Linked DNA regions of Notamacropus eugenii. The protein of the gene in region 4 binds, or shares a complex with, the protein of the main gene of each other region. Links are inferred from orthologs where the notes say so. Each region holds a gene or a part of one and is shown on either strand. Other genes may lie near its edges. The genes, in order: CRIPT, SNRPF, SNRNP40 and SNIP1.

Region 1 (7,747 bases), on a different chromosome or scaffold from region 4:
TACATCTCCTGCCCACACCCTTCCATTCCACCTCTACAGCTATTCTTGACACCAGAGAGGTCAAACTCAGAATTAAAATCAGATTAAAATGTAGGGAAATGTTTAACATAATACAATACAATATAGAAAATGTGAGTTTGTGATTTTCTATGATAGCCAGGGATCTTTTTCCTTTCTGAGTTTGACATCACTTTTGGCCACTGCCTACTATTATGCCTTTGCTTTGGCTGTTCCTATCTCTGGAATGCTCTTCCTGGATTCAAGGTTACCTTCAGTTCTTAGGGCTTTGGCTTCTAAGGTTAATTTAGAATTATTCTGTCTGTATCTTGTTTTTTATTTACTTGTCTCCCTCATTAGAATGTAAGCTCCTTGAGGGGAGAGGCTGTTTTTATTTTTGCTTCTTTTTGGTATTCTTAATGTTAAGGACAGGGTCTCACACCTAAGTGCTCAATCAATGCTCAATTGAGGGGCAAATTTATTATATTACAAGTCTAGAATTGATACCTGTTTTGTGAAAAATCAAAAAAGGTCCTGTGATAGTAGTAAATATTTATTAAGTGCCTACTATATGCAAGGCACTGAGCACATCCATTTTCATTTTGGTCACGTACCACAGACAAAAGGTGCTTACTTGCAAAGGAACTGATTGAACCATTTTGGAGAGCAATTTGGAACTATGCCCAAAGGGCTATAAAAATGTGTGCACTCTTTGACCCAGCAATACCACTTCTAGGTCTGTATCCCAAAGAGATCATACAAATAGGAAAGGAACCTACATGTACAAAAATATTTACAGCAGCTCTTTTTGTGGTGGCTATGAACTGGAAATTGAGAGGATGCCCATCAATTGAGGAATGACTGAACAAGTTGTGGTATATAGATGTAATGGAATACTATTGTGCTATCAGAAATAATGAACAGGTGGACTTCAGAAAAACCTGGAAAGACTTATAGGAACTGATTCTGAGTGAGGGGAGCAGAACCAGGAGAACATTGTATACAGTTACAGCTACACTGATCAATGACTAACTTTGAAAGACTTGGCTCTTCTCAGCAATGCAAGGTTCTAAGACAACTCCAAAAGGTTCAAGATGGAAAATGCTACCCACATAAAAAGAAGTATGGAGACTGAATGCAGATCGAAACAGTATTTGCTCTTTTTTGTTTTGCTTCTTTCTTGTGGTTCATTTCGTGGCTTATAATTCCTCTTTGCAACATAACTAGTGTGAAAATGTTTTAATGTAATGTATATATACAGCCTATATCAGACTGCACGCCATCGTAGGGAGAGGGGAGAGGAAAAAGAGGGAGAAAATTGGGAACTCAAAAGCTTGTGGAATTGAATGTTTTAAACTAGTAAATAAATTTTTTTAAAAAGAGGTTAAAAAAAAAAGAAATTCATCCACCTGTAGCACTGGCCCCTGCTAGAATCAAAGCTATGCATTGTGGAACCCCTTAAAAATATAATTTCTGCCATTTCTTTTTTACCATGTCTTACCTCGACTAACACTCCAATACTACACTATCTTATTTACACCTCCTGTCAAATACTAAGTGACATTATACGGACTTTCATAGCAAAGCACTAGCCTGGTATCACCTAGAATGATTAATCATACTATTCTGAACCAAGGAACACCAACTTCGAACAAGCATTAATTAAGTACCTACATGGCAAGCACTTTGCTAAGCACTAGGAATACCAAGAAAGACAAAAACTGTCTCTGCCTTCAAGAATCCCAAGGGAGAGACAACAAACACCTAACTATGCACAAAAAATACCTATACGGGATAAACTGAAGATAATCTCAAAGAAAAAGCAACAGCATGAAGAGAGAAAGGCAAAGGCTTCTTGCAGAAAGTAGAACTTTAGTCGAGCCTCAAAGGAAGCCAGAGAATCCAAGGAGGCTCTTAGGGGGGAGAGAATTCTAGCTATGTGCCCATGCACAGAGCCAGAAAGACTGAGAGATAGATTGTCCCTAGATGCCAATCATACTTAGTTTGAGGCTAAAAAAAGCCTCTATTATTATTAAAAAATAATAATAGCTAACATTAATAGTTTGCAGAGCGCTTTACAAATTTTATCTATTCTTCTCCACAATAACTCTAGAAGGGAAATAGTTATCTCCGTTTTAGAGAGGAGAAAACAGGCCCAGGTTTAGTGACGTGCACACAGCTAACAAACGTTGAGCCCAAACGTGAATCCACGTCTTTCAGACTCCAGGTATAGCATTCCATACACTGTGCTACCTAGCTGTCTCCGATCTATTACCGTGGCTCCAGGTAAAGCCAAGCACCTGAAAGGGGACGGCGCAGACGGAGGAGCCAAGCGTCACAGGAAGAGGACTGACTACACGCAGCCAGAGGGCTTTTCGACGGCCGGCTCAGGGACCTTAGACTTAAAACTTCCCATCTTCGGTCCTCGCTCTTCTCGTCTACCGACCAGAGGGGCTGGTCTAGAGACGATCTCTTACGATCCCACAGGAGCCAGGAGAAACCAGGAAAAGTTTCTCACAAATCTCATTCCCCTCGGAAAGAGAACATTCTGCCGAAGGAAACGCGCCCCTCGCGGACCGGGTAGGCGGGCACGTCGCTTTACCTGTCCAGGGCCTCTAGTAAAAGAGGGCTGGAGGAGTGACCTCCAAGGTGAATTCTGGCTCGGGGCCCCTTCGGCGTCCCAGAGGTGGGAGGGCAGCGGAAGCAGTGAGAGGCACACCGGAGGAGAGAAGGGCAGGAAGCGGGGCCACTCCACCGCAGAGCCCGGGGCTCCGAGGAGGGACGTGGGGGGGCGGGGAAGCAGGACCTGCCGGAGCAAGGCCCAAGCGGAGAGGGGCGTGGTGACCCCCAGGCTTCTCCGTTCGATCTTACCTGAGCCTCGGGCCTGAGCAGAAGTGGGTGGGAGGTAAAGCTCCCGCCCTCTCGGCTCTCAGGTGCGACTGGTTGTCTCGCATTACGCGCAGGCGCACACACACGTGCGCACGTGAGTTCTTCCTCACTCAATGGCTGGGAAGCTCCAGCAGCCAATCGGAGAGGGAGAAAGGCCGGAAAGAGGAGACAAGCCCCGCCCTCTTTCCTCCACCAGCGCTCCAGGTGTGGGGGAGGTGAATTAGTAAGGCGGAAAGAAATCCCTTATGACCCGGAAGGAGGTTCCCGGCCGGAGGATTGTTTACATTTAGAAGAATCCCGCGCCTTTGGGAAGGTAGTTAAACCGACTTGATCCCTCTAACAGGATGGTTTGCGAGAAATGTGAGTGAGGGTACCTATCGCTCCGGGGGATGGGGATGGGGGCAGAGGAGAAAGAGGGGACAAAGATGAATGCGCGACCCCTGGCCCAAACTCCCGAGGCTCCCTGTGCTTCTCAGCCTCAGGGGGTCTGGTCCCTGCCCTGACCGCCCTCCCTTCAGCTAGTCCTCTGCCTCTCCTTTCCGACATCGCCAAAGCCTCTCCCGGTGCTTCTCGCCCATTCCCCTCCGTTTCCACCCTGTTCCCCCGCTTGAGGCCCGAGCCGATTGTCGCGTCTCAACAGGCGTCGCGTCTCTACCCTGCTCCCTAAATCCCCCCTGCTGCCCTTATCTTTGGTCACGAGCCTGCTCCCCAGGGCCCACGGCAGCAGGACCGTGTGAGCCCTGCGTGTGTGTATGTGTGTATGTATATGTACACGTTAATCAGTAGGACCCTACATTTGGTCATATCCCCAATATTGCAGAGAAGAAAACTGAGGCCCACATCGTTAATTGGTGCAAGACCCGAAAAGTGATAAGTGATAGAACAGGGATTTAAAGAAAGGTTTTCTGACTTGAAATTCACGGAGGGGGGGGAAGGGTTTCCCCTTCTCCAACTGCATAAAATCAACTGGATCCTCTATCCTCTATCCACATTCATGTTCAGTGAGTGCTATTTCCATCATAGCTTGCAGTCTCTGTAGTCCAGATTTGAACGTTCCTGAGCCCAAAAATATGCCTTTGTCATAACTAAGTTTCACCCACCCAATTCTCTCTGTCAAATCCTGCCTATCTTTCAAGGTCTAGTTTAATTCCACCCAGGTATGTAGGCCCACCATGGTCTTTACATATCTCTAATATCCAAAAGAACAGTATGATTCTAACACTCATTTGATTTTAATCACTCTTTGTAATTAATATGTGTGTGTGTATCGTTTCTTTAAGGAGATTACAAACCCCTTAAGAAGAGGGACTTGGTTTCATTTTTTATCCTCCACGTTATACCCATTGTAGGAAGGTAATCAGTCTCTCCATAAGTACTTGTAAAACATCTTCTATGTGTCAGGCAATCTGCTAAAACGTTGGGAATACAAAGAAGGGCAAAAGACTATCCTTTCTCTCAAGTAGCTCAACAGGTAAAACTGTATATAAACAAGTTATATACAGGATAAAGAGATAATCAACAGGCAGCTAGCATTCATCAGCCTTCAAGGGATCAGGAAAGGCTGGAATTTTAGGTGGATTTTTAGCCAGGACTTGGAAAGAAGCCAGAAGTCAGAAATGAGGAGGGAGAGCTTGGAGGATAGCCACTGAAAATGCACAGTCTGGAGACGGAGTGTCTTGTATGAGGAAGTGCCTGGAGGCCAGTGTCACTGAATCACAGAGTAGAGGGTGAATAAGTCAGAAGACTGAAAAGGTAGGAAGGGGCCATTTTGTGAAGAGCTTTGAATACTAAAGTATTTTATATTTGACCCTGGAGGTCATAGAAACTACTGGGGTTTATTGAATGGTAGATGAAATGGTCAGACCTGCCTTTTAGACAGATAATTTTTCAGCTGAATGGAGAATGAACTGGAGTGTGAAGAAACCAGTGGGCTATTATAGTACTCCAGGTATGAGAACCTGCGTCAGGGTGGTGGCAGTGTCAGAGAAAAGAAGAAAATATGTTTGAGCAATGTTACAAAGATGAAATCAATTGTACTTGGCAACAGATTGGGTATTGGGGGAGAGTGGAAGTGAGGAGCTTAGGACTACATCTAGGTTTGTGAGCCTGGGGAACTGAGAAGTGCCATTAATAGTAATAGGAATTAATGTAATTAATTATTTTTTAATAGTAATAGGAAAATTAGAAAGAGGGAAAGATGAATTCAGTTTTGGACATGTTCAGTTTAAGATATCTATAAGACATCCGCTTTGAGATGTCTAATAAGCAGTTGGAGATTCTAAAGTCTAAAGCATTTGGAGGTCAGGAGAGAAGTTAGTGCTGGGAAAGTAGATCTGAGAATCATTAGCATAGAAATGACGGTAATTGTATCCGGGAGATTGAGTAAGATCACCAGGTGAAAAATAGGATAGGGGAATAAGAGAAGAGGGTCCAGGACAGAGCCCAAGACAACCCATTACATTTTTGGCTATCTCCAATTTTGGGATTTTATTTTTTCCTTCCATGGAATCCAAATTTGCTTTGTTCATCAGCGTCTGAGCAGAAACTAAGGCAGCAGATAATGGGAATGATCCAAGGCCAAAGCTAACAGGCCATGATCAGCAGCGTGATCAGAGCCAGGGACTCAGTTGAAGTGGACAGTGTAGAGTTGAACTGGTTCACCAAGAGGTCACGATGAGAAAGAAAGGAGAATGCAGCTAGTGCAGGAGTGGTGGCCAGGGAAAGAACTGAAGGCTTAAGGAATTGGAGGTCACAATTTGGATGAAGAACAGGATAGAGAGAGAGGGAGAATGACAGTAGATTGTGATCAGATAAGGAAATTTCAAGAGGTCGTTACCATGGAGGTAATACATTGTCGGTGAAGGCAAGGGCAAGGTTATGGCTTCTTTGTGTATGGCTGAGGTGGGGTGGTGGAATAGGTCATATAAAATGAGTAAATTAAATGAGTTGGGTTTATTTTTCAGATCTGTGCGTAAGAGAGGTAATATTTTATTTTTTTCCAATTCCATTTAAAGATAGTTTGCAACATTCATTTTTTTAATAAGATTTTAAGTTCCAGATTTTTCCCCTCTCTCCCCATGACAGTAAACAATCTGGTATGGGTTATACATTGTACAATCATGCTAAACATATTTCCATATTAGACATGTTGTAAAAGAAGAATCCATACAAAAGGGGAAAACCGCAAGAAAGAAAAACAAAAATAAGTGAAAATAGTAAATGCTTCAATCTGCATTCAGACTCCATAGTTCTTTCTCTGGATATAGATAACATTTTCCTTCATCAATCTTTTGGAATTGTCTTGGATCATTGTATTGATGAGAAGAGCTAAGCTAGTCATAGTTGATCATCACACAATGTTGCTGTTACTGTATGCAATGTTCTCCTGGCTCTGCTCACTTGACTTAGCATCAGTTTATGTAAGTCTTTCCAGGTTTTTGTGAAATCTGTTTTCTCATCATTTCTTATAGCACAATCCATTACATTCATAGTCAGCCAATTGATGGACATCTCCTCAATTTCTAATTCTTTGTAACCACAAAAAGAGCTGCAATAAATATTTTTGTAAATGTAAGTCCTTTTCCCTTTTTTATGATCTCTTTAGGATATAGATCTCATAGTGGTAATTGCTTTATCAAAGGGTATTCACAGTTTTATAGCCCTTTGGGCATAGAGGAACTGTGAATTTAAGGTGTTTAAGAGAGTATCAGTGTGTATGTTGAAGTCCTAGTATGAGGGAAAGAGTTGGGGAGGAGAGAACAATTGTGATCTTATTGTGAACTCATTGAGGAAAGAGGGGGAGTGTACTGGAGGCAGAAAGTTAACAGCTATTCAGCAATACCACTTCTAGGTCTGTATTCCAAAGATATCGTGAAAATAAGAAAAGGACCCTCATATACAAAAATATTTATAGCAGCTCCTTTTATGGTGGCAAAGAGTTGGAAACTGAGAGAAATGCCCATCAGTTGGGGAATGGCTGAACAAGTTGTGGTATATGAATGTAATGGAATACTGTTGTGCTGTAAGAAGAGATGAGCAGGCAGACTTCAGAATCCACATTGCGGCTTTCACAGACTTAGCTCTTCTCACCAATGCAAGGATCTAAGACAGCTTCATAAGACTCATGATGGAAAATGCTGCTCATATCTAAAGAAAGAACTATGGAGTACAAATGCAGATTGAAACATACTGTCTGCTCTTTTTTGTTGTTGTTTTGTTTGGCTTCTTTCTTGTGTTTCTCCCATTGGTTCTAATTCTTCTTTACGATATGACTAATGTGAAATTTTCACTAATATGAAAATAGGTTTAATATGAATGTATATAAAGATTGCATGCCATCTTGGAGAGTGAGGAGGGAGGGAAGGGGAGAAAATTTAAAACTCAGAATTTTATGGAAGTAAATATTGAAAAATAAAAATAAAAATTTTTTTGAAGTTAAAAAAAGAAGGATAACAGCTACTAGAATTTTTATTGGGTGGTGGAAAGGGATTCAGTGAATGTTAAAGGAAGAGAGACTACTGCATAGTGATGGTAGCAGGAAAACTTGAAATTGGCACTCTGAAGCAAGGAATATTCAACTTCCCCATCTCAGTGTGGGGAGGGGGAAAGAGGGGGGGAAATGGAGGAAATGGGTGAAAGTGGAAAGGTAGGCTGTAGTCAGAGGGATCCAGTTCTCAATAAGAGCCAGAACATGGAAGAAGTGGGAAAGACAAAGATTTAAGATGAAAGCAGGTTTGTTACCTATGGAGCAGGCATTCCAGACAACACAATGGAAGGGGTAGGTAGCATTAGAGTGAGACACTGGGGGCTTTTCGTGGAGGAGAATAGTACTAATTTATCAGTACCAGATGCAGAATAGCAT
Region 2 (7,974 bases), on a different chromosome or scaffold from region 4:
AGGCAAGAAAAACAGCCTAACATTTGCTTTTTTATTATTTCTAAACCCACCAGTAAAATCCTACTCTGATGTCTCATGACATGGCTCTACAAAGTTATGAGTAGAATGCACATGCTGGCAGGTCCTACCGAGGTGGAAGTGACCTTTGTGACAGCAGCTGGAGCACAAGCCTCACCTAATTCAAAGAGGCTCATCTTCTGAAGGATGGAGACCAAGTGATAACTATGTAATGTAGATATCGAGGAGGGGGTAGGGAGCTTATGATGAAGCCTATGGATGGGGCTTTTCTCAGAAAAAATATTTTTAAATGCAGAAAATAAATTTTTCCTCAAAGAAAATTTAATCAAAGATAGATTTATTCTATCTCATTTAAGAAAAACATACTTTCTTAAAAAGCTAATTTCAATTGTTTTACTAAAATAATACTCTGAAGAAATGGTTATAAGTCCATCTCCAGTTACATTCTTCAGTATTACATCAACACATTTATTTAAACTGCAAAGCACACAAAGCACGGTTAAATTCTCTACAATACATTCAAATTCTGAATTCCAGTTTTCCTGACAATAATCTTTTATTTTCCTCTTAAGAAGTAAAGTCTTTTAACATTATTAGTTGCTTGTCTATTTAAAAACAAATGCTAAATGATTGTGAATCAAGGACCATTTAGATCACCGAAAATCCTAAGTATTAAGTAATCAATCCAAAGGGCAGTGAGAGGGCATATAGAGTGACTTTACTACCAACATACCTGGCAAATGTTATACCACAAGCTGGCTCCTCTCAATTGTGGTTGTTCATTCCTTTCAGTTGTGTCTGACTCTTCCATGACCCCATTTGGGGTTTTCTTAGCAAAGATACTGGAGTGGTTTGCCATTTCCTCCTCCACTTCATTTTGCAGATGAGGAAACTTGAGGCAAATAGGGTTAAATGACTTTCCCAGGGTCACACAACTAGTAAGTGTCTGAGACTGAATTTGAACTTGGGTCTTCCTGGCTCCTGGCTTCACTCCACTGCACCACCTAGTTGCCCTCTTTACTTCAAGTAAATTAAGACTCCGAAGCCTGAAGCTTAGGAGAGGAATTAAGGTATCAATTATTAAAAGGACATGACTTTTCACTGAAATCCTGGACAAGGCTCCAAGTCTCAGAAAGCAAGTAAAGTGAGGCCCACCCCACTCGAGTTTAGCTTACCTGCATGTTCATGTAGCCATCCACAGACACCAGGTAACCTTTATACTCCATTCCCCACTTAAGCTTCACCATCACTGGCTTCCCTGTCAGTCCATTCAGGAATGGTTTGGGGTTGAGGGGTAAACTCTGTACAGAGATGAGGTGATAAAGGCAAGACATTAGTCAAGATGGAGCTTTCACAGGATCTCAAGTAAGGGAAGGAACATGAGGGTTCATTTAGTCCAATATTCTTACTTGACAGAGAAGCCCAGAGCCCACTCCTCGTACTTTCCTAAATCACCCTATATTACATTCAGCCTTTCCTAGTACCCAAACTATTGAGTCCTGCTATGGTTAACCTCTTTCATTTTTGATTCACAGAGATGGGATGAAATAGATAAATTCACATTCGTTTATTCAACAGTTCCAGATTCCTCCTTCTCTACCAAGCCCCCAGAATGGGAGTTAGAAGCTTTAGAAAGAGTAAAGTCCACCCCTCCTCCTTCTAAAAGGAGGAAATCAAAGCCCAGGTGGCACGTTTGAGGGGAAGCACTGTCTTTGGCCTCTTTGTATCCCCAGTGCTTGGCACCGGCACCTGGTCTGGAGCTGGCACTTAAACGCTGGCCCAAGTGCCCCCAGCTAACACTGGGACGGAGCAGGGACTTGAACCCTGCATCTCTAAGGCCAAAGCTATTTCTCCTACACTATGATAACCAACAGTCACCTCCCCACCACAAGGCACTGCTGGAAGCCACTGGTGAAGGAAAACTCAGATACGTTTACTTTTTTTGGGGGAAGGGAAATAATAAAATATAATAATCATTATACGTATATAAAATAATTATGTATATAAAATACGATAATTATAATAAAATATAATAAGATGGCCAAACTACAGAAAAAAGAGGAAAAAGGTGCCTTTTTTTGGCAGGTGAGGGAAACTGAGGCTCAGGAGCTATAAGAGGATAACTCGGAGTTTAAAGGGGGCACAAATTGGAGCCAGGAGCTGACCAGAGTGATTCCCTGATCTTCGATTATTATTATTAAATATAACAGCAGTGAACCTGTATCACAGACGGCCTCTGAGGCCCCTTCTGGATCCCAACCTGTGCCTAGGGCTGTGTTTCTGGGGCCTCAGTTTCCCCGGCTGTAAAGGGGTTGGCCCATCCGACCAGGGAAGTTTGCCCAAGGCCTCAGTTTCCCGGGCTGTAAAGTGAGGAGGTGGGCCCAGACGGCCGCAGCCCCGCGGCTCCAAGCTCTCTCCCCCTGGCTTAAGTTCTAGGAGTCCACGGAAAGTTCCCTTCTGGCCCCGCCTCCTTTCCCCCCGCCCCCCTTTAAATGGCCCCTTCCAGGAGGCTTTAAAGCGCAGGACTCGGGCGAAACCAACTGGGGTCGAGGGGGAATGTAGGAGGGAAAAATAGCAGGCTCGCGAGCCGCTCCTCTCGCGAGACCGGAGGTGGGGGGGGACAGGGAAGAAAGGGACGAGCCAGGCCGCTCCCGCCCCCCACAGCAAATGAATGGGCAAGGCGGGAAGCGAGAACCCGTGCGGACGCTCTTCACGCCGCTACCAGGCCGCCACGGCTCCCGCCGCTGCCGCCGCCGCTGCCGCCGCCCCCTTACCATCGTCACCACCGAAGAGCGCCACGGGCCGTCCGCCGCCGCCGGTTCTCCTGCGCCCACGTGAAGCGAGCCACCGCCGCCCCTACCTCCGCCTCCCTCTAGCCGGCAAGCGTACGGAAGGCAGGGAAATGGCCGCCAGCCGGGAAGGTGAACTTTCACCCCTCACCCCGGCTTCCTTGTCATAGCTCTCCTCCCCCGCTCTCCTCCTCCCGGGCCTCTCGGATTGGACGGAAGCAGGTGGGTGGGGCTTGGAGGCGGGGCGGGGCGGAGCCGAGCAGGAGAGGCTCGTGCCGGGGTTGCTCAGTGCGCATGCGGACTCCTCCCGCGCCTGCGCCGCACGCGTCCAACAGTCGGAGATTTTAAAAAACCTTTTTCCCCAAAGTGCCTCAGTTATTTCTTTGCCCTTGAGCGTGTTCTTGTTCCCTAATCCTGACCGGACGCTGCCTCTGCTGACGGGACAGTGCGCCAGAAGCGGCCTCCCCGGAGGAGGGGGGTGGCGGCTGTAGGTATCGCGACCCCGGGGCCTCGTTCGCCTCCCCCGGGGGCCTGGCTTCGCTCCTTCCGTCTCCGCGAGGTTGTAGGGTGCCCCTCGGGAGCACGGGACGCGTGGCCGGGAAGGCCCTGCTCGGCCGGGGCAAGTCGCCTCGGGTCCCGGAGCCTCATTTCCTAATCTCAAATATATATATATACGTATATCTACACATGTGTATACATGTGTGTATATGTGTATATATGTATGTATATGTGTATACAATGTGTATACAAGTATGTACATGTGTATACATGTATGTATATGTGTATACATGTGTGTACATGCGTGTATATGTATGTATATGTGTATACACTGTGTGTACATGTATGTACATGTGTATGTATGTATATGTGTATACATGTGTGTACATGCGTATATATGTATGTATATGTGTATACACTGTGTGTACATGTATGTACATGTGTATATATGTATGTATATGTGTATACATGTGCGTACATGCGTATATATGTGTGTACACTGTGTGTACATGTATGTACATGCGTATACATGTATGTATATGTGTATACATGTGTGTACATGCGTATATATGTATGTATATGTGTACACACTGTGTGTACATGTATGTACATGTGTATATAATGTATGTATATGTGTATACATGTGTGTACATGCGTATATATGTGTGTACACTGTGTGTACATGTATGTACATGTGTATATATGTATGTATATGTGTATACATGTGTGTACATGCGTATATATGTGTGTACACTGTGTGTACATGTATGTACATGTGTGTATATGTATGTATATGTGTATACATGTGTGTACATGCGTGTATATGTGTATACACTGTGTGTACATGTATGTACATGTGTATATATGTATGTATATGTGTATACATGTGTGCACATGTGTATATATGTATGTATATGTGTATACATGCGTATATATGTGTACACTGTGTGTACATGTATGTACATGTGTATATATGTATGTATATGTGTGTACATGCGTATATATGTATGTATATGTGTATACACTGTGTGTACATGTATGTACATGCGTATATATGTATGTATATGTGTATACACTGTGTGTACATGTATGTACATGTGTATATATGTATGTATATGTGTATACATGCGTGTACATGCGTGTATATGCATGTATATGTGTGCACACTGTGTGTACATGTATGTACATGTGTATGTATGTATATGTGTATACATGTGTGTACATGCGTATATATGTATGTATATGTGTATACACTGTGTGTACATGTATGTACATGTGTATATATGTATGTATATGTGTATACATGTGCGTACATGCGTATATATGTGTGTACACTGTGTGTACATGTATGTACATGCGTATACATGTATGTATATGTGTATACATGTGTGTACATGCATATATATGTATGTATATGTGTACACACTGTGTGTACATGTATGTACATGTGTATATAATGTATGTATATGTGTATACATGTGTGTACATGCGTATATATGTATGTGTATGTGTATACACTGTGTGTACATGTATGTACATGTGTATATATGTATATGTGTATACATGTGTGTACATGCGTATATATGTGTGTACACTGTGTGTACATGTATGTACATGTGTATATATGTATGTATATGTGTATACATGTGTGTACATGCGTATATATGTGTATATGTGTATACACTGTGTGTACATGTATGTACATGCGTATATATGTATGTATATGTGTATACACTGTGTGTACATGTATGTACATGCGTATATATGTATGTATATGTGTATACACTGTGTGTACATGTATGTACATGTGTATATATGTATGTATATGTGCATACATGCGTGTACATGCGTGTATATGCATGTATATGTGTGCACACTGTGTGTACATGTATGTACATGCGTATATATGTATGTATATGTGTATACACTGTGTGTACATGTATGTACATGTGTATATATGTATGTATATGTGTATACATGCGTGTACATGCGTGTATATGCATGTATATGTGTGCACACTGTGTGTACATGTATGTACATGTGTATATATGTATGTATATGTGTGTACATGCGTATATATGTATGTATATATGTATACACTGTGTGTACATGTATGTACATGTGTATATATGTATGTATATGTGTGTACATGTGTATATGTGTATGTATATGTGTATACATGTGTGTACATGCGTATATATGTATGTATATGTGTATACAATGCGTATACATGTATGTACATGTGTATATATGTATGTATATGTGTATACACTGTGTATACATGTATGTACATGTGTATATATGTATGTATATGTGTATACATGTGTGTACATGTGTATATATGTATGTATATGTGTATACTCTGTGTATACATGTATGTACATGTGTGTATATGTATGTGTATGTGTACATGTGTATATATGTATGTATATGTGTATACAATGTGTATACATGTATGTACATGTGTATATATGTATGTACATGTGTATATATGTATGTGTATGCGTATGTGTACATGTGTATATATGTATGTATGTGTGTATACAATGTGTATACATGTATGTACATGTGTATATATGTATGTATATGTGTGTACATGTGTATATGTGTATGTATATGTGTATACAATGTGTATACATGTATGTACATGTGTATATGTATGTATATGTGTATACATGTGTGTATATGTGTATATATGTATGTATATGTGTATACAATGTGTATACATGTATGTACATGTGTATATATGTATGTATATGTGTATGCACGTGTGTATATGTGTATATATGTATGTGTGTATACATGTGTATACATGTATGTATATGTGTATATATGCGTGTATATGTGTGTATACATGTGTATATGTGTGTATATACACGTATATACATGGGAGGTTGGGGCCCGGAGGACACGGCCGAATGTAAATCGAGGCTCCCATCCTGCTGCCCCTTCGTCGGTGATTGGAGAAGCATAGCTTGGAGGAGAATCTAGACCAGCCTGCCCTTCGCTGTCATGTTTCCAAATACGTAATTGCAGTATATCTATGTCGGATAGTATGTTGGGAATATTATTTGGCTTGATTATGTTGAAATATAATTTATTGAATTGTAAACCCAAATTAGTGAATTCTCACAACAACCCTCCAAAACATTATTTTCCCCGTTTTACAGAGGAGAAAATTGAGGCAAACAGGTTAAGTGACTTGCGTAGTAAGCGTCTGAGGCTGGGTGAGGCCTAGCTTGTCATCCTACCTCACCACTTAACCCTTCCTTAAGCTCCCTATTACATCCAGGAGCGGATCTCCTTGAAATTAAAACTTAAGCTTTGATAGCTTAAAACTGCAAAACAGACATTTGGAATATTCTGTATAATCTGTGGCGTTTTAGGCTCTTAGTAGTCTGACCGCCCCTAACTCTTTTACTTCAGTCCGTATGCTGTACAATGATACTTGATAGATGGAGTCAGCAGAGCAGGCATTCCTTAAGCACATGCTATGTGGCAGGTGCTTGGGCTAGGCAAAAAGCAGTTCCTCTTATCAAGGATCTGACAGCCTAGTAGGGCAGACAACATAAAAACAACTGTACAAAGATGGATGTGGAATACGTTGGATATCATCAACAGAGAGAAGACACTAGTATTAAGGAGGATAGGGAAAGGTTTCTTGAAAATAGGTGGGATTTTAGCAGGGAATTGAAGGAAGTTGGGGAAGCCAAGAGTTGGAGAAGAAGGTAGGATGAATTCCAGGCATGGGGAGGGGGGGAGCAGGTGGGAGCAAACAGTGGAATTGCTTGAGACAGGTGGAGTGTCATGGGGATCTAATTTGTAGAAAGGAGTAAGGTGTAAGAAGACTGGAAAGGTAGGAATGGGGCAAAGCAAAACAAGGTTTTCAGTGTGATCCACTAACTATCCTTCATGCCTTGAATGCTTTCTGTCTCTAATTCCATCTCTTAAAATCCCTAGGGGATTTTACCATCTCCCCCTTACCCATCTAAGATTACCCTTCATTTACTCTATAACTTATATATATATATATATATATATATACATGTTTTATATGGATGTTGTTCCTCCCCCACCATTCAAAATATACAGAGATTTTTTTTTCCACCTTAGTTTGTACCCCCAGTGCTTGACACAGTTAACACTAGAATTCTTATCAATTGATTTTACAGTTGAGGAAACAGGCCCAGGGAAAGGAATTGTCTTGCCCAGGTTCATACAGGTAATAAATGGGAAAGCCAAGATTTGCACTTAGATATTATGACTACAAATCCAAGAATCTTCACTACTCCATATTCAGTTAATTCAGGTCAACAATTATCAAGTGCCTCCTCTTTGTTAGGGATTGCTAGACCTTGAGCATACAAAGACAAAATAAAACTCAGAAGCTGACTGTTGAATGTACAACAGTTTGATTAGGGAGAGAGAATACTAACACCTAGGGGAATTAGGAAAGGCTGGCTGATTTTTTTATATTGACATAAATCTTTTTTTATTTTTATTTTTAAACATTCAATTCCACAACTTTTGAGTTTTAAATTTTTTCTCCCTCCTCTCCCATTTCCTCTCCCCATGACAGTGTGCAATCTGATATAGGTTCTACACGTACATTCATATGAAACATTTTCACAGTCATATTGTAAAGAATTATAACCAATGGAATGAATCA
Region 3 (6,865 bases), about 9.0 Mb from region 4:
GGTGGCCTGGGCCATATCTCAGGTTCTTCCTAGCTCTAAATCATATGCCCGTAAGTTAAAAGGGTCGTACAAACATTAAGCACCCAGCACAATTCTGTCTCCTTTTGTCCATAGACAACAAGGTAGTACTGAGGGTTGAGGCCTGGTTCCTTCATACTCACAATTCCACACTCTGGACCTCAGCTTGTCCCTTTAAAAATTACAGGACTGGACCAGAAAGCGTCTAAGGTCCTTTTAATCGCTAAAATTTATGATTATAAGATCTTTTTCAGTCAGTCAATAAACACTTATTAAGTGCCTACTAGGTGCTGGGCACTGTGATAATTGAAGGGGATTCAAAGATAAAAGATAGTCCCTGCTTTCAAGGAAATCCCACTTTAATGAGGGAGACCACAAGCAAAAAGTTATCTACAAACAAGCTTTGTACAGGATAAGTAGGACATAATCAACAGAAGGAAAGCCCTAGAATTGAGGGAGGTTGGGAAAGGCTTTCTGTAGAAGTTGGGATTCTAGCTGAGACTTAAAGCCATAAGGTAGAGCTCAGGAGGGGGAGCATTCCAGGCATGGGGAGAACAAGCAGTGAAAATGCCCAAGGTCAGGAAATGTTCTTGTTTGAGGAAGAGTCAGGAGGCCAGTGTCACTGGAGGGTTGTACAAAACATAAGAAAACTAGAAAGGGAATGGGGCGGAGAGGCATGCAGTGCTAGGTTATGAAGGCTTTGAATTTGAAACAGGATTTTATTCAATCCTCAGGATAATAGGGAGCCATTGTAGTTTACTAAATGGAGATGTTATGGTGAGGCCTGCACTTCAGGAAGACCACTTTAGCTGCAATGGACTGGAGTGGGGAGAGACAGGAAGACCGATCTGGAGATTATTGCAATAGTCCAGTCTTGAGATGATGGAGACCTGTACCAGTGTATTAGCAATATCAGAGGAGAGAAATGGGTACATGTGAGAGATATTACAAGAGACCTGACAGTTGGAGCTCAGCAGAGATAAGGGCAGAATAGGTAGATCTGAAAACTGCCAGCAAAGAAATGATAAATAAATCCACAGAAGCTAATGAGATCACTAAGTGAACTGTGTAAAGGGGGAAAGTGAAGAAGGTCAAAGACAAAAATCCTATGGGACACTCCCAGATAGTGAGCATGACCTGGAAGAGAATGCAGGAAAGGAGACTGAGATAGAGCAGTCAGAAGGGAGGAGGAGAACTGGGAGAGAAGGTAGAAAAGAAGTAGGAGAGAGTGCTGTTCCAAAAACCAAGAGAGAAGAGAGTACAAAAGAGAAGAGCGTGATTGACAGTATCAAGGGTTGAAGAGAGGGCAGGAAGGATGAGGACTGAGAAAAGGCAATCACTGAATTTGGTAACTGAAAGATCATTAGTAATTGGAGAGAGAGGTTTCGGTTGAGTGATGAGTTCTGAAAACAGACTAGAGAGTTAAAGTGAGAGGAAAGAAGTAGAAGCACCTATTGTAGACAGCCTTTTCAAAACAGGAGAAAAGACAGAGAAGAACAGCTAGAAAGGATCAAGTGAGGGTTTTTTGAGGATGGGAGAGCATGTTTGCAGTCAGCAAGAAAGCAGACAATAAAGAGAAAGAGGTTGAAGATCGTGAGAGGTAAGGATGGAAGGAGCAACCACCTGGAGGAGACAGGACAGAATGGGATCACAGGTGCAGGAGGAGGCAAGGAAAAGGGCCACTTCACTACGTGAGCCAGGGATGAAGGAAGAGATAGATATGAGTGACAGGAAACGAGGAGGGGAAAAGAGAGAGCTCAGAGAGAATACTCTTAGCTTTTTCCGCAAAATAAGAAGCCATTTAGCCGAGAGAACTGGGGAAGGGATACCAAGAGAAATTTAAGAAAGGATGAAAAGATTTTGAAGAGCCCCCAGGGAAAGTGGGATGGTGAGTCATTTAGGGAGGTATAAAAGGATCGTCTCCTAGCACTGCAGGCCAACTGAGGTCACGTAGCATATATCGCAGCGGACCCAAGAAGCACGATTTGGGGATTTTTTTTCCAGTTTTCCTTAGTAGCAAGAGAGAAGAAGCCAGTGGAGGCTTTCAAATAGCGAAGGGGCTATCACACAGAAACGATTTTTAATGCTTGTTCCTCCCCACCCCCAAGCAGAATCAATTGGAAAGATATTACAAATTTCATCTCAATACAACGACAACACAAATCCTAACTTTGATAACTGTCCCAGCTTTGAGAGCTGAGGGTTTGAGATGGGCAGCCTCGGAAAGATGTCCCCCGAAGGGGGTGCGGGACCGTCACCCTAGGTCTAGGACCTCTTTGGGACCCGCGTTCACGATCTGTAAAGGGAGGGTCGGGCTCAGAAAAAGTCTGAGTCCAGAACCTCCCCCAGCCTCAGTTTCCCTCCCTCTCTTTAAGGTGAGGAGGCTGGGCTCTCTGAAGGTCTCTCCGAGGTCCCTGACAGTCCGAGAAGGATGAGGAGGGGGACGGAGAGGGGGAAGGAAAGGGAAGAGGAAGAGGGGAGCGGAGGAGCAGGAAGACGAGGGGGCGAAGGGGAGACGGGAGCTGACAGGACTCGTTAGCTCGCTAGGTCACATACCGCTTGTAGCAGGGCCCCCGGCGGAGGCTGCTGCCCCGCAGCAGGCCCGGCCCCGGTCCCCGGCCCCGCCGCTCCCAACAGTAGTTCATGACGGGGCCGCTTGAGGGGAACGAGCGGCAGCTCCGGACCCTTCCGCTTGTGCTGCTCGATCATGGCCGCCTCAAGCCGTCCGCGCTGCTCAGTCCACAGGCCGCGCCGGGGTTTACGGCCCGGCTCCCATTGGCTAAGATTGTCCCCGCCCACCCAGGAACTTCCGTCCTAGGCCGGACCAATCAATTTCCTGTGTGTGTTCTAGAGCAAGGGTAGAGTAATTCATTCCTTCTCATCCCTTCTTATTGGATAGAGGGCGAGGCCTTCAAGAAAAATATAGGACTGTGATTGGCTGCTATGTGTGAGGGAGGGACACGAACAAACTTCCTGTGCAGACTCTTTTGTTAACTTTCCTTGCTTCTTCTTATTGGGTCAGAAGACGGGCTGTCACCGCGAGAATCAGTCTCCGATTGGTCATTGCGTTCGGTGGGAAGGTTTCCTGAACGCGCGGTGGCTGATGGGCGGTGGCTAACGGATTGGCTGTGGGGAACGGAGGCCTACGATTGGCTGCGCTCCGAGCGCTTCATGGCGGCATCCTCTTAGATCCTGTACCTTGGAGGCTGCTGAGTGAGTGAGTGTGGTGGGCCGTCTTGGGGGCCTCTCCGGGCCTGTGGGCTGGCGGGCGGGCGGGGATCTCGAGCCCAGGACTCTGTGTTTGCCCTCTCTGATTAGACTGGCTTGCCATCTTCCCCGCCGTAGGAGACTTGTGATGCTCTCTGTTGAGGACCACAGTCAGGCAACAAGCATTTATTAAGCGCCTGCTGTGTGCCGGGCTCTGAGAATTCCAGTCCCTGTCAGTGAGGAGCTTCCATTCTCCTGCTTTGGAGAAGAGGATACCTGCGAGGTTCAGTGGACAGAACCCCGGGCTCCCTCTCCTATATTACAGTTGCTCTGTCCCAAGACCCCCCCCCCCCCCAGTCCATCCTCCACCCAGCTGCAAAAGTGACATTTCCAGAGCACAGGTTGGACCCCGAGTACGCCTGTCACACTCTAAAATAATCGTCCAGCCCTATTGCCTCTCGAATGGAAGGATTCCGGACCTTGTTTGTGTGCTGGACCACTTTGACAGTCAGTCTGGGGACTCCGCTGAATCGTCTTCTTAAATGCACAAAAGAAAATACGCAAACTTATAAAGGAAGAAAGGGAGGAAAGAAGGAAGTATTTATTGAGCGCCAGGCACTGTGCCATGCCCGTTACAAGTGTTATTTCATTGGGTCTTCACAGCTGTGCAGGGGAATTTGACAGTTGAGGAAACTGAGGTAGACAGAGGTCAAGTCGAGAGTCACACAACTAGTGAGTAGATTGAACTCGTTGTCTTCTCCCTAAAGCTCCCTCCCTTCACACACCATCCCTCTTTTACTGTAGAGGAAGACAGCACCGTCCTAACAATCATCCTGAACTGCTCACTAACTCTTACCCCTCCCATCTTTGCAGCATATGTGGGATATGCCCCTTCTGGCCCCTATCACTGCCATATCCCTGGACTATTGCAATAGGGGCTGGAAGGTCTGCCTGCTTCACCTCTCAACCCACCCCAATTCATCCCTCTATTCCATGAACTTGTTTTTTGTTTTTAATAGTCTGGCAACTTTTATTTCAATACATTTGGTTTTTTGGGGGGCAGACAGTCATTCATTTGATAAGCATTTATTAAGTATCTACTATATACCAGGCACTGGGCTAATCATTGTGAATTCAGAAAAAGGCAAAAGAAAATCGCTGCCCTCATGAGCTCACAATCTAATGAGGGAGACAACCTTCAAGTAAATATATACAAATAACCTAATATGCAAAATAAATAAAAAATAATCAAGAGATGGAAAGGCATTAGGGATTGGGGAAGACTTCCTGTACACAGCTGGATTTTACCCGGGACTTGAAGGAAGAAGGGGAAGCCAGAAGAGAGATGAGGAGAGAGAAAGCATTCCAGACATGGTAGGCAGCTAGAGAAATCAGTCAATCGGTAAACATTTATTAAGCACCTACTATGTTCCAGGTACTATGCTAAGCACTAGAGATACAAGAAGATGCAAAAGACAGTCCCTGCCCTTAAGAAATCCAAATTGCTGCAAAACAATCCAAATGAGGAGACAGCATGCAAACAACTATATACAATTATGCTCCCTTTCCCCTCATTCTGGAAATTTATGTTCTAACTCAGGGGTGGGGAACCTGTGGGCCTCGAGACCACATCGACTTCTAGGTCCTCTGGTGCCACCTTTTGGCTGAGTCCAGGTTTTACTGAACAAATCCTTTTATTAATGAGATTAGTTCTGTCAAGTTTGGCAGTCAAAGGGCCGCACTTGAGGACCTAGAGGGCCACATGCAGCCTCAAGTTTCTTCTTGCAGTTTCTTCCCCTCTCCCCCTGCAACCAAACTGGACTCCTGGAAGTTTCCCAATGTGCCCTTCCATCCCTGCCCTCTGCCCCCTTTGTACAAACTATCCTGCTCCCCTAGAATGAATACCCTTCCTCTCTATCTTTGCCTCTCAGTAACCTTAGATTCCTTCAAGGTCCAGCTCAGGAATCACCTCCTCCATGAGATCTTCCCCAATCTTCCCAGTTCCCAATTACTCTATATTTATTGATCTATGTACATCTTGTACCCTGCTCCCCCTATAGTAAAATAAGAGAACTCTGACAATTGAGACAAGGCTTTTGCAGCTGCCCTGTGATTCTATTGGTGTGGGTGTCTCTCCATATGGAAACTCCACTGATAGTAGGCAGAGACTGTCTTTTGCGTTTTCTGGTATCCCTAATGCTTAGCATACTACCTGGCACATAGTAGGCACTTAATAAATATTTACTCATTAATTGATTGATTTTTCTGGCCATCTACCATATCTGGATTGCTTTCTCTCCTCACCTTTGCCCCCTGGCATCCCCATCTTCCTTCAAGTCCTGGGTAAAATCCAACTGTGAACAGGGAGCCTTCGCCAATCCCTAGTGCCTTCCGTCTCTTGCCTGTTTACCATGTGTATAGGTTATATGTATGCATTTATGCTAGTATAGATTTAGGCCTTACCTTAAAATGGCTTTAAGTCCAAGACTTTCTTTTTACAGATGAGGAAAATTGAGTCTCAGAGAAGTCAAGTGATTTGTCCAATGTCACGTAGTCATTTTGTAGCTGGAATTTGAATCCAGTGCTTTTGACTCCTGAGGCTATTTTTTTTCCCCAGTGTGCCATGTCACATAGCTAATAAATGTTCAAGGTGGAATTTGAACTTGGGTGATTCCCCACTTCTGGTTTAGCTCATTAAAGCTGCCTCTCATAGGAAGGTACTTTTATCAAAGCAGAAAATCATGTTTCTGTGACACTTTAGTCACAACAACTCTGTAAGATCACTATTTTGGGTACTCACTTTACAGGTGAGGAAGGTGAGGCAGACAGAGGTGAATGGCATCCCCAGGGTCAGACAGCTAGTAAGGACACACACTGACTACTCTGCCTCTCAAGCTGTAAAGAGCTGCATAAATTGTAGAGTTGTACAAGAGTAATTGTTATTGCACTCCGTCTTCTTCTGGTGTTTCCTTGTAATTCTGAGGTTCTAACACCAGCAACATGGCCAAAGTTCTGACCCAGGGTATAGCAAGCTGGGGAGGCTTCAGATTTTCACTGTGGGTGTACTGTGTACTTTAGCAGCTCATTAAGAGGAGGCTGGCCTCTAGGTGATGATCTTTTTAAGGTAGAGCAATTCATCAAAGGTAGCTAATTCACATAGGAGTTGTAAAAACCACCACTCCTTAAAGTGTTGAAGCCTTACTCTCATGAGTTTGTTCTGTGCTCAGCCTTGTATGAGCTGGGGGTGGGGAGGAGAACATTGATATTATGCTGGAAAGTTTCCAAAGAACTTTTTCTGTCCATTTTATCATTGGGTCCTCACATTTACTATGTGGGACAAATGTGTGTTCGTCCTTCACTGTCGAAGAAGACCATACCATCAGAGAAATAATGACATGACTTGCACTTGACTTTGTTTTGAGGGAGGGAGGGCTGTGCAGGTCACCAGCCTTACTTCTCCTCCTGAGCCATCTGAATTCAGTGACCAGATATTCATCAGAATGACTGGAGATGACCCAGGATGAGGCAGTTGGGGTTAGGTGACTTGCCCAATGTCACACAGCTTCTAAGTGTCAAGTGTGTGAGGTGAGATTTGAACTCATGTCCTCCTGACTCCTGCACTGGTGCTCTATCCACTGCA
Region 4 (7,108 bases):
TTTAAAGTTACCTTCTGAAAGCCTCAAAGACTAACAGTAATAAGCTGTTCATGAAATGAGAGGTGCATTTAAGAATTAGATGACAGAGAGTTACAGCATGTAGACAGTGGCTCCACTCAGGGAAAGATACAACCAGCTGCCCAAAGATAATTTATTCTCCAAGAAGTAGAACCAACAGCACATCATGGAATACCTGCCATGGAATACAAGCAATGGCCAGGGTCTCCCAACTCTTGCTCTGAACCTTAAAGATGATAGTATATGTATTTATGTTCTAAGCTCTTCAAGTAACTAGTTCTTTTAGTGAAAACCAGTCTATATCCTGCCCTTTTCTGTCCATAAAAGTAATGCTGTAACCTTGGGGCTCACTTCCCAATTGAAGAAGAAAGTCCATATTCTAACACTAGTAGGAAGAAATTCTTAGATCAGAACTTAGGGGAATGAGTTGTGTCAATTGCAATTACCTGCTTCACCTTGACTACAGAATGGTGAGGGCTACGGCTTCTCTTACTCCGAGGAGATCTGCTTCTTCTCCCAAAGGACTTGTTTTTCCTTTTGGTTGGTGATCTTTAGAAAACACAACACACATAGGAATTGGTGGATAAGCTTTGAACCTCTACCCCAATTTCCCTCACACAAAGAAAAAAGTTTTTGACATCTCCTGCCTAATCTGCTATGAGTTATCATAGGTTTGTTGAAGACTAAAACTTTGCAAGCATTGGTAAATGGACACAAGGAAAAAAGGTCTACACACGGTAGCAAAAGCTGTCTTCAGATTAGGAGATCCAAATTATTGTCTTAGATCTGCCATTTAGTGTATGATCAGAATAATTCACATTTCTACAGCAGTATACATTTTATAAAATTGTCTCTGTGGCAGCCCCATGAACCAAATAGTATGATTATCCCCACTTGGCAGATAAAACTGAAGCTCAAAAGGGCTTAGACAATGCTGGTCCGGCCTAGAAGAGTCACAGAATGCTGGAGCCAGGACTCTGAACAAAGATATTCTTATCCTAAACTCAGTGCTTTTCCCACTATATTACACTGCTTCTCCAAAAAAATGGTGGGATAGAGGCAAGATAGCAATCACATAGGGCAATGAAATTAATTCTCAAACCCCTATGATTTCATGGTGCAGAAGATACTTTGCAATTAGCAAGTCCTTGAACTCTCAATTTCCTCATCTATAAAATTAAGTTAGACTAAATACCTGGACTATGACTTGTCTGCAACTTCCTCTCTTTCCTTCAAGGTCCAACTCAGATGCCACCTCTTCATTAAGACCCTCCCTCATCACTATCAACCTGATCCCCTCATGTACCGTGTCTTATTTCTTTATAGCTTCATCTTCACTTAACTGAAATGAATGGTCCCTTCAGGATTTAACTAGATCTCAACTCAAGGAAGAGTTTACTGGTAACCTTTACCTCACGCCATCCCCTCAGCCTCATTACTCTGCTTTACTGAAATCTCCAATGCTTCCCTCAGGGGTGAACGTGGCCCTGAGTTTTTGAAGGCTATACTGAAAGTATTTAGTTGGAAGGGATTCAAGTTCAGCATTGGTGATAAGACTGTGTGTCTGATGCTTGAAGACCAGTCTAGATAAATTTGAAGAGGTTCATTACCAGAAGGCTGGCCAAGTGACTGACCACAACGATTCATAAAAACCACCTATTAAATTGTGGAGGAACGCTTCAACTTGTATTAAAAGAAGAGGTACGCATACCAAGGAAACCACAGAATCTTAACAAAACACTGGGGTGAAGGCTGTAGGTTAGTAGTGAAAGGGCTGTAAAGATGAAAACCAGTGGTATAAAATCTTGGGGGTAAAGGTAAGAATAACAACAGCAGATTACAGTTATACTGTACAGTCTACGAATTCCTATCCTCACAACAACCCTAAACGCTGAATTAAATCCAACAATGTCCAGTTCTGTATTCTGAGACCAAAAAATAATGGGAGCGAACAGTTATAAGTCATCACTCACATCCAGAGAGTCCTTTACGAACGTCATCTCCACTGACCCACAAAATAACTCTAACAATTAACGTGGCAGCTAGGTGTCCAAGTGGGGAGAAGGCCCGTTGGACTCATCTGGGAGTTCAGCTCCGGCCTCGGACACTTCCTAGTGGTGTCCTCATCGGCAGAGTTGGAGAAGGAAAAGGAAAACCCCTCCAGCGTCTCCGCCAAGGAAGTCACGAAGCTTCCAACGCAACTGAGCGACAAAAACAGAACCGATGCAAGCACTCGGATTTTTATTTTACAAATGCGAAAACCGAGAGCCAGAAAAAGAATTCGCCTCAGCCAAGGCTAGTAAATGGCGGGGCGAGGATTAGAACCCAGGTCCCTACAACACCACAGCTACCAGACGGGCAGCAGGGGCGCAGGAAGGGTCCTACAAAGGACCCGAGTGTGTGCGCAGCTGGGAAAGGGGCTAAGGGAAGACTTGCTACAAGAGGCAGGACTGGCTGGGGGCTCGACGAGGAAGAGCCTCTGGGGATCACGAAGCAGAGTCAGCAGGGGGCTGGGCCCTATCCCCCACCCCCACCCCCGCGGCGGGAGGCACCGCCGCCACCACCCAGCGTCCCTCCGGGGGACGGGGCGCTGGGCTCGTACCTGCTGCAGCTGCCGGCGCGGTCGCCGGAGGCACGAGCGCCGCGGGCTCGCGGGGCCGGGGGCGGCAGCGGCGCCTCCTCGTCCGGCGCCGGGCTCGGACTTCCCGAGGAGCCGCGCCGGGCCCGGGCCCGTGGCCGGTGCGAGCGGGACGCGGGGGTCGGGCTGCGCCGCTCCTGCTTCACCAGCGACAGATCCGGCACCAGCACGTCGTCCCCCGCCGCTGCCGCCGGCTCGTCCTCGGCCTCCGGCCGCCGCCGGCGCCGCCTCCGCTGCCTCCGCTCCCGCTCGGGCTTCGCCTCCTTCATCCTCGCGGCCCGGGCCAGTGGGCTCCTCAGCGACGGCCCGAGCGCGTACCCCGCGCTTCCGTTTCCGGGGCAGCTTCGATTCTTCTTCCGGCAGCCAAACGGAAGTCGGGCCGCTGGCGGTCACGTTGTGATCGCACCCCCTGGCGGGCGCTGCTGAAAATCGCGCTCTCGAAAGAGGCGAGAGAAGTCTGGGGAAGCCTCACCCCCAAAACAACCACCCATCCAACAAAAAGTTCCGTTGGCCTGTCCCCGCCCCCTCCTCTCCCTCACCACGCCCACTCGACCTCTCCCCGGGGCTGCAACAGCCGCGATTGATGCGGACCCCCCAAAGACCCTCGTCGGACCCTCCCCAGGCGGGCGCTGTCACCGCCCCACGTTCCACAGGAGGAAACGGGCTGGCAAAGGTGACGGCCCGTAAGGTCGGAGGACGGATTCCGGGTCACAGCTCACGGTCGCGCGGCTCCGAGCGGAGGAGTCAGGATTCGAACCCACGTGCCCTTGTTCAGAGTGGCGCCCCCGTATTGCTGGGGAAAGGGAGGCGACGGCGTCAGAATAGAGGCCGAGGAGACAGGGAGCGAGCAGGGTCGGGGTCTGCCCCCTACAGAGCGCGCTCAGAGGACCAAGGCTTTTATTTGCCTTTCTTTAGGCCGGTGTGCACCGGGGCCTGCTTCTGCTACTGGTGCTCAGTGAACACCAGGGAGGAGAGAGGAGAGGAGGGAGGAAGGAGGCTTGGGCACCACGGAGTCCCACCCGTGACCGGGGCCTCGCACCCTCAGGGGCGGTCAGTCCTCTGACCTCCGGTCTTTTAGACTGTCCTGCCTGGAGCCGCGAAACAAGCCGTGCCTGCTTCCTAGGACGTCCAGGGTAAAGCTCCCTTCTCTCCCCGGAGGGACCTTTGTCTTCACTTGCCAGCATCCACCCTGTCAGGGTTCGTCCTTCGTTTTGGAAGAAGACCATGACATCAGAGAAATCCACCCGAGGGTCTCTCCGTGGGAACTTTGGCTGCACCACAAATGACAAGAAATGGCAGCGCTTCTGTCAGTGGTAAACGAGAAGCAGGCTGCAGGGGGAAGGCATGGAGGGAGGGCACAGGCTCCCGTGGGTGAGGCGTGGCCCCGGACTCGTTCCTTTATTGCCCGAGCACTTATTAAGCGCTGACTGGGGGCTGAGTCCTGCGAAGTTCAGTGCTGAAGGAAGATGAAGAGCTCTGGTGGTCATAAGGGGAGAAGCAGCCAGGTGGAATAAAGGGCCAGCCTTTGTTTGGGTCGGGAAGATGGAATGTCACACATAACGGAGGTAGGACGCTGGGCAAGTCCTCTCAGTGCCCCAGGCAGCTCTCGAAGTCTGCAGAAGTTGCGGAAGGGTTGTCTGTCTGAACCATTGGAATATATGGTTTTATGTGTGTGTGTGTATGTGAAATAAATGAAATTTCATGTCAAATTAAACTCCAAAAGAGCAACAGAAAAAAAAACCAGTTTTCATTTGTAAATGAATAAGAAGTGACTTGTCCAGGGTGGACCAGCAAGTGTCTTAGGCAAATTTCAAACCCAGGTCTCTGTCCCCTGCCTTGGCCTCCAACAGGACAGGAGAAGATACTTAGAGAGGTTCTTAATTTGTGTGTGTGTGTGTGTGTAGGACTCCTTTAACAAAGTAAAGTCTATGTTTTAAAGTATTAATAGTGCATTTATATGGCATTTTAAGGTTAACAAATTTGTTTTACAAGTATCTCATTTGCTCTTCACCACCATCCTGGGAGGTAATTAATATCCCCATTTTACAGATGAAGAAACTGAGGCCAGACAAGTCACATGGCTTGTCCAAGATCACACAGCCAGTAAGCGTCAGAGACGGATTGGAACTCAAGTCTTTCTAACTCTATGCATCGTACCACCAGCCACCTGAAATGAAACACACAGGCGTATAAAGAAAAGCAATTATACTGAAATGCAGTTATCAAAATGTTCAATAAACAAGTTCACAGACCCAGAGTTAAGAATGCCTGCCGAATAACGTAAAGGAGACTGTGGTAATTGAGAGCTCTCACTTCTATAGCACTCGTAAATTCTACAGGGTACTTTTCTTAGAAGCATCCTCTGTGCCCCAGAATCACCTGCCCACGGCCACACAGCTAACCAAGTGACAGAAATGAAGTTCCATCTGATGGCTCCTGGGGAGGGCCTAGGCCAGCATTCTTTTCAGCAGACCTGAGCTAAGACCTTAGAGCTGGTGGGGCGCCAGCCAATCCCACAGCTCTCCGATGGCCACGCCCCACTGCTAGCTCCGCCTCCACCACTAGGTTCAAGCTGCTGGGCTCGAGTGGTAGGGACAGGGGGTGGGGCCTCGGTTTCCATGGTGACAGTAAACAAGGCTGCGGAGCCACTGCTGCAGCAGCCACCATGATTCCTCCAGTTGATTCTCTGCTCAAGTATGATACCCCGGTGTTAGTGAGCCGGAACACAGAGAAGCGGAGCCCCAAGGTAGAATCCAGGGCCTGGAAATGGGGACTGCAGGGAGGGAGGGCGGGAGGAGAAGTGATGAGAGTGTGGAAGGGAACAGGGAAAGAAAGAGGAAGATGAAAGTGGAAGGAGAGAGGAGAGGGAGAGTGAAAGAAATAATGGGAGGAGTGAAAAGGAGGTGAAAGTAGAAAGAGTAAAACAGGAGGAGAGAAAGGATGGGAGAAGCAAGAAGAGGAATGGGAAGGAGAAAGGAAGATGTGGTTGGGAGGAGTGAGGGAAGGGAAGAAGATTAAGAGGAAAAAAGACAGTGGGAGAAGCAAAGAGAGGAAAGGTACTATAGGAGGGAGGAGCAAAGAGGAAGGAAGAGAATGTGGGAGGGATGGAAGAGGAAAAAATGAAAAGGAAGTAAGGAGGGTGGGAGAAAATTGGACAAAAGGAGGGACCACAGACATGGATATAGACAAAGGAAAAAAGATGATGGTAGGATGAGGAGAGAGGAAGGAAAGAAAAGGTGAGGGTAGATGCATGGGAGAGGGAAGGAGGAGAAGAGGGATATCATGAGAAGAGATAGCAGAGGAAGATAGGAGGGTAGAAAGGGAGAAATAAAGTGGGAAGAAGGAAATGAAAGGATACAGGAAAAGAACTAGGGCCATGGCTGCCCCAAGGCCAGTTCTGAGGACCAGCTCACTGAACTTCTCTGTCACCTCTTTTCTAGGCCCGTCCCCTGAAGGTCAGCCCACAGCAGCCATTGGCTACAGGGCCAGTTCCACAGCCACCCAAGAGCAAGGCTATCCCTTCTACTTCTGCTGCCTCAGACCCCACCAAGCAGGCTGAAGAGATCCTGAACTCCATCTTGCCTCCCAGGTAAAAAGATCAAGGGATAATCAACAAGCTGGAAAGTCTTGGGATGGACTGGCTTGGCCAAGTTAGCAAAGGCTTATCCTGTGTTTAGCTGCAAGACAATGAGATTTTTGGTCATAGCAACTCTACTAAGATGTCAAGGGAATAGCCACACTCATGAAATAATTAACCCTTGAAGTATTGATATTGGTTCCTTGTGGTCAGACCAGCCAACAGTCCTAGAGAGAGTCCCACAGTCTCTTCTTCTCCCCCTCCCCCCAGGTCCCAGGATCTTGGTGCTGTGAGGGACCTTAGAGGTCACTAGTCCCCTTCCCCTTCCCTGTCATATTTTATAGATGAGGAAACAGAGCCAGGTTGTGAGTTGGAGTGCCTGGTTTCAACCCTAGATCTTTTGACTCTAGAGACCAGTGCTATATGATACAAACAGATAGGAACCAGCTTTATACTCACAGAAGGGTGAAGAGTGGGGAGAGGCACAGGAATTCTAAGTCCCAAAGATACTAGGATCTTTTTTTCCTCTCCAAGGTCACTTAGCTCTAGAACCCAAGGGTCTGAGTCTCCTCACACCAGGGTCCTCTATAATCCATCTATGATCCCAATAGATTCCTCATTGCAGGCTGGAAGGGACCTTAAATATTATTTAATCCTACTACTAACATAGAACTTGAGTCCAGAGACTAGTCTAAGATTCATTAGCCTTAGCACACAAGGGTCACCATGTAGGTCAGGATCCTTCATGTGCCTAATGTGTCATCTTTTTATCCTGGCTGTTATCCTGATGGAATCATAGAATACAAGAACTGGAAGGGACTGCAAAACCATCCAACTTTAACCATTTCATTTTTACATATGGGGATACTGAGATA

Evidence for each region.
Region 1: SNIP1 (region 4) and CRIPT share a complex: the UniProt entries of both Homo sapiens proteins name them as parts of the minor spliceosome. The link is inferred for Notamacropus eugenii from reciprocal best matches to the Homo sapiens genes SNIP1 and CRIPT.
Region 2: SNIP1 (region 4) and SNRPF share a complex: the UniProt entries of both Homo sapiens proteins name them as parts of the minor spliceosome. The link is inferred for Notamacropus eugenii from reciprocal best matches to the Homo sapiens genes SNIP1 and SNRPF.
Region 3: SNIP1 (region 4) and SNRNP40 share a complex: the UniProt entries of both Homo sapiens proteins name them as parts of the minor spliceosome. The link is inferred for Notamacropus eugenii from reciprocal best matches to the Homo sapiens genes SNIP1 and SNRNP40.

What each region holds. Positions count from the first base shown.
Region 1 is NC_092872.1:662,290,714-662,298,460, reverse strand, and holds the start of CRIPT (cysteine-rich PDZ-binding protein), read left to right. Parts: upstream 1-4,735; 5' UTR 4,736-4,788; coding exon 4,789-4,834; intron 4,835-7,747. UniProt on the Homo sapiens protein: As a component of the minor spliceosome, involved in the splicing of U12-type introns in pre-mRNAs. Involved in the cytoskeletal anchoring of DLG4 in excitatory synapses.
Region 2 is NC_092874.1:278,476,792-278,484,765, reverse strand, and holds the start of SNRPF (small nuclear ribonucleoprotein F), read right to left. Parts: upstream 3,013-7,974; 5' UTR 2,796-3,012; coding exon 2,793-2,795; intron 1,320-2,792; coding exon 1,194-1,319; intron 1-1,193. UniProt on the Homo sapiens protein: Plays a role in pre-mRNA splicing as a core component of the spliceosomal U1, U2, U4 and U5 small nuclear ribonucleoproteins (snRNPs), the building blocks of the spliceosome.
Region 3 is NC_092876.1:72,718,435-72,725,299, forward strand, and holds the start of SNRNP40 (U5 small nuclear ribonucleoprotein 40 kDa protein), read right to left. Parts: upstream 3,003-6,865; 5' UTR 2,728-3,002; coding exon 2,575-2,727; intron 1-2,574. UniProt on the Homo sapiens protein: Required for pre-mRNA splicing as component of the activated spliceosome. Component of the U5 small nuclear ribonucleoprotein (snRNP) complex and the U4/U6-U5 tri-snRNP complex, building blocks of the spliceosome.
Region 4 is NC_092876.1:81,740,947-81,748,054, reverse strand, and holds the start of SNIP1 (smad nuclear-interacting protein 1), read right to left. Parts: upstream 3,007-7,108; 5' UTR 2,926-3,006; coding exon 2,621-2,925; intron 568-2,620; coding exon 465-567; intron 1-464. Other genes in the region: DNALI1 (axonemal dynein light intermediate polypeptide 1), read left to right, coding at 5,322-5,402, 6,097-6,245. UniProt on the Homo sapiens protein: Required for pre-mRNA splicing as component of the spliceosome. As a component of the minor spliceosome, involved in the splicing of U12-type introns in pre-mRNAs. Down-regulates NF-kappa-B signaling by competing with RELA for CREBBP/EP300 binding.